Oryctolagus cuniculus: one gene and its partner. The protein of the gene in region 1 purifies or fractionates together with the protein of each later gene. This does not show direct contact. Links are inferred from orthologs where the notes say so. Each region holds a gene or a part of one and is shown on either strand. Other genes may lie near its edges. The genes, in order: TSSK6 and FKBP5.

Evidence for each region.
Region 2: the proteins of TSSK6 (region 1) and FKBP5 purify together in Homo sapiens (affinity purification with mass spectrometry; 4 studies listed by BioGRID and IntAct, with this or other methods). This does not show direct contact. The link is inferred for Oryctolagus cuniculus from reciprocal best matches to the Homo sapiens genes TSSK6 and FKBP5.

What each region holds. Positions count from the first base shown.
Region 1 is NC_091447.1:66,227,155-66,231,528, reverse strand, and holds the start of TSSK6 (testis-specific serine/threonine-protein kinase 6), read left to right. Parts: upstream 1-1,451; 5' UTR 1,452-1,617; coding exon 1,618-2,439; 3' UTR 2,440-4,374. Other genes in the region: YJEFN3 (yjeF N-terminal domain-containing protein 3), read right to left, coding at 783-922. UniProt on the Homo sapiens protein: Serine/threonine-protein kinase component of the sperm flagellar doublet microtubules. May act as a regulator of sperm motility by mediating phosphorylation of sperm doublet microtubule proteins.
Region 2 is NC_091436.1:133,852,678-133,856,481, forward strand, and holds part of FKBP5 (peptidyl-prolyl cis-trans isomerase FKBP5), read left to right. Parts: exon of another isoform or gene 1-637; intron 638-2,071; coding exon 2,072-2,214; intron 2,215-3,120; coding exon 3,121-3,235; intron 3,236-3,804. UniProt on the Homo sapiens protein: Immunophilin protein with PPIase and co-chaperone activities. Component of unligated steroid receptors heterocomplexes through interaction with heat-shock protein 90 (HSP90).

The DNA of each region.
Region 1 (4,374 bases):
GAGCTGGGCTGATCCGAAGCCAGGAGCTCCATCCGGGTCTCCCACACAGGTGCAGGGGCCCAGGGACTTGGGCCATCCTCCACTGCTTTCCCAGGCCACAGCAGAGAGCTGGATGGGAAGTGGAGCAGCCGGGACTCGAACTGGCGCCCAAACGGGATGCTGGCACATCAAAGCAAGCGGAGCAAGCGGCTTAACCCACTGCAAAACAACACAGGCCCCCTCAAATACATTTTAAAAATTAATTTAAAAATAAACAGGGCCAGTGCCGTGGCTCACTTGGCTAATCCTCCGCCTGCGGCGCCGGCATCCCACATGGGCGCAGCTCTCTGCTGTGGCCAGGGAGTGCAGTGGAGGATGGCCCAAGTGCTTGGGCCCTGCACCCCATGGGAGACCAGGAGAAGCGCCTGGCTCATGCCTTCGGATCGGCGCAGCTCCGGCGGCTGCGGCCATCTGTCTGTCTGTCTTTCGAATTCGGATTCCCGGTCGCCCTGCGCGCGGGTGGGTGGGGGAAGCCCCGCACAGGGCCATTTCACAGACTCCCTCTGGGCTCTGCGTTTCGGCCCCAGCCCAGGCCTGGGGGGTCGCGCGGGGAGCTGCCGCCCTCGCCCGGGTCTCCGCGACCCCCGCCTGCTACGCCCACCTCAGTGTCACCCGCGGCACAATGGGCCGACGCCCGCGGCCGTGGGCGAAGCAAGCCCGGAGCCGAGCAGCAGCCTGGGCCCCGCGCTAGGTGAACCTGCCCGGGAGGCGCCCCCGCCACCCCGGCCCACGGCGGCACTGACCCGACAGTCCCCGACGCTGCAGGTTCCGCTTGTAGTCGATGGGGCCGTAGCCCCCCGGCGGGGGCATGTCCTGCTTCACCTTCGACGCCGCCATGCTCGCTGGACGCCGCACTTCCGGTCGCCGGCGGAAGTGACGCCATCGGGCCGCGCCGCCATGACGAGTGTGGCGGAAGCGCCGCCGGTGGAGCTGCCAGACTTCGCGGGCGGGCTGGGGGGTGCGGGGGGCGCGGCCGGGGAAGCCTAATTTCAGCTTCCCGCCGACGGGGTGTGACGCAGACGACCCCTAGGGGCTGAGGCTCCTTGCCCGCTAGCCCCTCGCGATGCACCGGAGAATCAGACACCCCGAACCCCCGGGGGGCGTCGGGGCCCCGGGCTGCTGGACCCCCTCTCGGGGCCCAGGGCTCCACAGGCTGGGGGTACGCGAAGTCGGGGGCGGCTCGCTGCTCCGCTTCGGACGCACGGGGAGGCACCGGCAGTCCGGGGAGGGGCTGTGCCCCCCGGTGGTGGTGGGGGGCGGGCGTCCTCTCTGCCGAACCGGCCGGCCGTGCAGGGCGATTGTGAGTCACAAGGCCGCACGTGAGGGGCTGTGCGGGGCCAGGGGAGCCCCGCGGGGCGGGGGTGTGTGTGCGGTCCCCGCCCCGAGAGGCGGAGTGACGCCCGCGGTCACTTCACAAGGCTGAAATTGTTACCGGGGCGATGTAAGGCCCCCGCGGCGGCGGGGACGCGGGAGTGGGCACATGGGGGTGCGGGGGTGCGGGTGCCAAGCGCCATGGGTTAGGCCCGAGATTGGAGTCCGGCCGCCCCCCGCTGCTCCCCGCGCGCCCCGCGCGCCACCATGTCGGGCGACAAACTCCTGAGCGAACTCGGCTATAAGCTGGGCCGCACCATAGGAGAGGGCAGCTACTCCAAGGTGAAGGTGGCCACGTCCAAGAAGTACAAGGGCACGGTGGCCATCAAGGTGGTGGACCGCCGGCGAGCGCCGCCGGACTTCGTCAACAAGTTCCTGCCGCGCGAGCTGTCCATCCTGCGGGGCGTGCGGCACCCGCACATCGTGCACGTCTTCGAGTTCATCGAGGTGTGCAACGGGAAGCTGTACATCGTGATGGAGGCGGCCGCCACCGACCTGCTGCAGGCCGTGCAGCGCAACGGGCGCATCCCCGGCTCGCAGGCGCGCGACCTCTTCGCGCAGATCGCGGGCGCCGTGCGCTACCTGCACGACCACCACCTGGTGCACCGCGACCTCAAGTGCGAGAACGTGCTGCTGAGCCCGGACGAGCGCCGGGTCAAGCTCACGGACTTCGGCTTCGGCCGCCAGGCGCACGGCTACCCGGACCTCAGCACCACCTACTGCGGCTCGGCCGCCTACGCGTCCCCCGAGGTGCTGCTGGGCATCCCCTACGACCCCAAGAAGTACGACGTGTGGAGCCTGGGCGTGGTGCTCTACGTCATGGTCACGGGCTGCATGCCCTTCGACGACTCGGACATCGCCGGCCTGCCCCGGCGCCAGAAGCGCGGCGTGCTGTACCCCGACGGGCTCGAGCTGTCCGAGCGCTGCAAGGCCCTCATCGCCGAGCTGCTGCAGTTCAGCCCCTCGGCCAGGCCCTCGGCCGGCCAGGTGGCGCGCAACGGCTGGCTGCGGTCGGGGGACTCCGGCTAGGGCAGGGGGCCCGCCCTGCCCGCCTCCCGGGTCGCGGCCGGCACGGCGCACGCGCAAGGGACGCCGCCGCACTTCCGGGTTCCTGCCGCGCCGCCGCGCGCCACGGCGCACGCGCCCTGCCCCGGTCCCCCCCTCCCACGGCGGAGGCCGCAGCTGCCCCGCCTCCGAGGCTAGCTCCTCCCCCTCCTCCACCACGCCGAGAGCTGGAGAGCGCACGCGCGCCTTCGATTCCCCGCCCCCAGGCCCCGGGAGGGGCGGGGCGAGAACGAGATGGACGGCCTGCGCCTGCGCCTGCGCGGAACGAGCGACGGCTCCCCGGCCCGCGGCGTCCGGGAGGAGCTGCTGGGGGGGCGGCCGCGCGCCGACGGCGTCGCTCCCCAGGCGGCCGCGGATGCCCGGTTTCCCGTCGAGACCCGCAATAAACTTCGCTCTACCTCGCACCTGTTTCACGGAGCGCAGCGGGGAAAGGGGAGGCTGGCCCCGTTTGGAGAGAAACGCGTGTCCGGCTCCCGGCCGGGGGCCGGGGGCGAGCAAGCCCTGCTCGGCGAGGGCCCCCTGACCCCGAGGTCCCCCGGGGGGAGTAAGGGGCCGGCTCCTTGAACACCTGCTGTGTGACCAGGCCTGGACCCTGCCCTTGTCCGCGAGGCCAGTGGAAGGTCAAAGACGTGGAGGTCAAGTAGCTTCGAGCTGTAGCGATGCCAGGCGGGGGCGGGGGTCTACCCAGAGGGACCCCACAGGGTGGGTTCGCAGCCGCTGACTGCCCCTTTCCCTAAACCCACCTGTGTGCGGTCCCAACCGTGCCCAGCCCTGCTCACTCTGCAGCCCCGGGGACCGAGCGCCCCCCGCTCTCCCCTCTGCTAACGGCTGTGGCCCTGGTCCTGGCTGGACTTCCCTCACAGGGAGGGCGGGTGTTGGGAGGGGACGTGAAGGCTCCGAATTAAACCGCGTCCTCACCCCCCACCCTGCGGGCCTGGAGTCTGTCCGTCCCCACCTCGGGGCCTCTTCACCCATCTGTCCCCGCTCCACGCCCAGCTGTGTGGCTGGGGCCCTCTGCCCACCGGCGCTGGCTGATGGATGGGAGTGCAGAGCTCGGTAGCCAGGGGCCCGGGTCAGAAGGGACAAGGAGAAGCCGGTGAGCCCGGCAGGTGCAGCGGGACAGCCTTGGGGTTTAACTTCTGCCTTAGCCTGGGCTTCGAGAGCCCCAGAGGCCAAGCCCGGCACATCCTTAACACCGAGGACAAGCGGTCAGCAGGGACTGCGGGAGCCCACAGTGCAGCAGGTGCCTCCTGCAGCCCGGGGCTGGGGGCGGAGAGAGAGGGGGGGAGAGGAGCAGTCACACCGTGTCCCTCCCTTTATTGTCCTTTAGAGTCCGAAGCTCAGCATACAATGGACGCCAGCCACCCACGCGGCCTCTCTGGTGAGGGGAACGTTAATAGTGAAGATTCAGTCACAAAGAATGCGGGTGACAACCTTCCCCAGACAGCCCGCCCTGGTCTAACTTATTTCGCGGTGCGCGATGGTCCTGGGATGCCCCCTGGGGCCTGCCCCTGCTGGCCAGGTTCTGGGACGTTTTTTGGTTACGATGGGATTGGGGGGTGGGTGCTCCCAGGTTCCGGGGAGTACGGGATCTGGACCCCAGCAGCGCTCGCTCACCCACACCCCGCCGCGGGGCCTCTTTCTTGGGCTCAGAGAACGTCACCCCGCCCCGCAGAGGGGGAACCCAAGCCAGTAACAGGTGCAGGACGGCCAAGGCCGGAAATGAAGCAATGACCGGGCAGCTCCCCCAGCTCAGTTCGTTTACGTCACAGCGTGCCATCCCTGACCCGGCCGCTCCCTGGGACGCAGAGGCGGGGCCTTGCCCGTCCCACCCTGCCGGGCCACGGACAAGACTTGGAGGAACGGCCGGCCACGCTCAGTGAGGCTGGGAGCAGCGGG
Region 2 (3,804 bases), on another chromosome or scaffold:
CAGTAAAGTACAGACCTGAGACTCAAGTCCAGGTGACCTGGGAATTAGAACAGGCTGACTTTTAACTTCTAAAATGCATAGCCTCATTTCTACTGATGAAGAAAGAAGTCCAAGATGCCTATTAAATGAAAAAGCAATTCAAACTCGAAAATGTGAGATGCTGTTATTTGTGTTTTACATTTTTTTAACATGTGTAGTATATGCTTTGGCACTCATTTTTGTTTGTTTGTTTTAAGATTTATTTATTTATTTGAAAGGCAGAGTTACAGAGAGGCAGAGAGAGAGAGAGTCTTCTGTCCGCTGGTTTACTCCCTAGATGGCCGCAATGGCTGGAGCTATGCTGATCTGAAGTCAGAAGCCAGGAGTTTCCCCTGGGTCTCCCATGCTGGTGTAGGGGTCCAGGGAATTGTGCCATTTTCCACTGCTTTCCCAGGCCACAGCAGAGAGCTGGATTGGAAGTGGAGCAGCCGGGACTAGAACTGGCGCCCATATGGGATGCCGGCACTGCAGGCTGCAGCTTTACCTGCTGCCACAGCGCCGGTTCCATGCTTTGCATTTTTAAAGAAGTGACCGCACACACTAGGAAGATGAAAGAGAAGCATGACAGTGGCTTCCTACAAGGAGGGCGCAAATGACCTTCCACTTTTTGCTTTGCATCTTCCCTGTGTCTTTTAATAATAGACATGTAGAGGCATGCATTTACATAGATTTTTCACTCAAATAAATGGAGCTGATAGTTTTAAAAGTTATAGTATTTAACAAAGACTAAGCTGAAGTCTTGAGTAACAAATGCTTGCTCTACCCCTAGTAAAACACCTCCGACTGTCAGCTCTCTCTCAGCCCAAGGGAGCAAACAGCTCACTTCAAAATTGACTCCCTTGGGGGCCGGCACTGTGGCTTGGCAGGTGAGGCCGTCACTTGCAGTGCTGGAATCCCATGTGGGCACTGGTTTGAGTGCCGGCTGCTTCACTTCCGATCCAGCTCTCTGCTATGGTCTGGGAAAGGAGTAGAAGGTGATCCAAGTCCTTGGGCCCCTGCACCCATGTGGGAGACATGGAAGAAGCTCCAGGTTCCTGGCTTCAGATCAGCCCAGCTTTCTATTGTGGCCATTTGGGGAGTGAACCAATGAATGGGAAGATTTCTCTCTCTCTTTCTCTCTCTGTAACTCTGCTTTTCAAATATAACTAGGTAAATCTTAAAAAAAAAAAAAAAAAAAAAAAAAAAAGGACTTCCTCAGGGCTTTGGTGCTGATTTGACCCCACTTTGAATACCTAAGATTTTGGTTAACTTAGCCCCTCAAGTTTTAAAGGCCTCCCTTTTCTGTGGTTTTCTAGAGGATTAGAGACTGTGCAGTAGGATAAAGTGAATAATGCTGGACATGATAAAAGCTGTGAATATTGGCATTGTGATTACATAGCCAAAAACAGTTCTACAGTTAAGCAATAAATGTGACTTTTTTAGTTACCTGGAACTGGAAAAAATTAAATATTCTGAGTTCTATCACTGTGATTTGGTAAAAGGACAAAGGCATTTGTTTGAAGAAACATTTTTCTGATTCTAAATGTTAAGATTAAATTTGTTTCATGGACCCTTTTATACAATTTATACTTTCCTTTTATACAATGTATACTTCACAGAAAGGTCTTATTTTTGTCTACCAAACTAAATTACAGCTTCTTTAGAACAAACTCCAGTTTCTATACTATTTTTGTCCCATCTTTGCCTAGAAAACATGCATTTAGTATTAAGGCTGAAATGATAAATTAAACCACAATTGCAACACAGCCACATTTTGTGGATTATGTTACTGCTACTTTTGAAAAACTTGATCTTAATTTAGGAATTGATGCTACATTTATCCTACTCAGCAGAGAATCTTCTCTGATAGCCTTCCAAAAAAAATCGTAATTTATTTCTTTGTGTGTAGTTTCTGCTGAGTTTTGTCATCTTTTAGCTCATGTTTGTTAGCTGAGTACATAAAGAATTGGAAATTTTTCTGAACTCTTGTTTTATGAAAGTTAAATCTTTTAAAATATGGCTGATAGATTTTAATTGCATTTTCCTTTCTCAGGTCAAGTTATCAAGGCATGGGACATTGGGGTGGCCACCATGAAGAAAGGAGAGATCTGCCACTTGCTGTGCAAGCCAGAATATGCATATGGCTCTGCTGGCAGTCTCCCCAAAATTCCCTCCAATGCAACGCTCTTTTTTGAGGCAAGTATGTGTGTGAGGTTGCCTTGTCAGCATCTGCTGTGCTATAGGGCTCTCTTTGTAGCAACAGGCAGTGGAACAAGGAGTGAAGTTTGGAGAGGAGAATCAAATCCAACTTATTTATTTTGGAGCCCAGCTTCTTGAATTGTTTCCCACAAACTGAAGGGGTGTGTGCCAGTGCTTTCTTAGAAACGTATCTCTGGCACAGAAAGGTCATATCCAAATAAACAAAAGACATTTGACTTAGAAATAAAGGCTGTGGTTAGTGGTGTGAGTACAGCATGCTCAAAGGTGACCTGAAGATAGGGTGGAAATGCTGGAGACAAGTGTGGAAATATGCCTATCCTGAGTTGGTAGGTATTTTCATGCTATCAAGGTTTATAAATGTCACAGATCTTACCCCTTCAATAGAAGCAGTAGGTGGAGTTTTTATTCATCTTGTGTTGAATTGCACATATTTAGCAAAACCTAATTTAAAAAGCTACCCTAACTAGATAAAATACACCTTCAATCAGTTGTCAGCCAGACACATGGGATTTGTTGCTCAATTTTACTAAGGCAACTTCATAAATTGGGTGGGAAAGTGGTGGCCTCAAAGTCAAACAAAATAGTTCTGCGCCAGTCCTTGTAGTTCTGGCCTTTTGCCCACAAGGCAGTGTTCCTAGTATTTCCTGTCTGTCTCTGCACTGCAGCCTCTCAGGAGTAGTGCTAAACATTATCATTACATGAAGTTCCATCTACGCATTTGTAAAAAGAGCAGTGTCCTTTTCCTCCTACTTTTCCAATAACTCTAAGATGCAGGGATAAGTACATTTTTGTAAAAGCAGAGTTTTATTTTGTAAAGCAAAAGACTAAATGGACTTCGTTTGGTCTTTGCTCAACCAGATCCCTTTTTTTTTTCCTTTCTAGATTGAGCTCCTTGATTTCAAAGGAGAGGATTTATTTGAAGATGCAGGTATCATTCGCAGAATCAAACGAAAGGGAGAGGGATATTCAAACCCAAACGAAGGAGCAACAGTGGAAAGTAAGTATTGCTGTGAGAGAACTAAACCTTAAAAGTTAGGTTCCATATACATGGATGAAGCAGAACTTTTTTTAAAATTCAACATTCTGAAATAAACATATTGAATAGGGCTAGCATGGTGGCATAGCAGGTAAAGCTGCCACTTACAATACTGGCGTCTCATATGGGTGCTGGTTCCTGCCCTTGCTGCTCCACTTCTGATCCAGCTCCCTGCTAATGGCCTGGACCAAGTGCTTAAGCCCCTGCCACCCAAATAGGAGACCTAGATGAAACTCCTGCTTTGGCCTGGCCCAGCCCCAGCCATTGCATCCATTTGGGGAGTGAGCCAGAGAATGGAAGATATCTCTCTCTCTCTCTCTCCCTGCCCCTGTCTCTCTGTAACTCTGACTTTCAAATAAATAAATAAATCTAAAAAAAAAAAAAAAAAAGATGACAGCATCTACTATTATTTAAAAAATCCCATCCATTGAAGAATTTTTAATCTATGGACTATTTGATGTGTCAAAAAGTTTATTAATTGCTTCACATATTTATTTCATGAAGTAACCTTATGAGATAAGATGTATTAT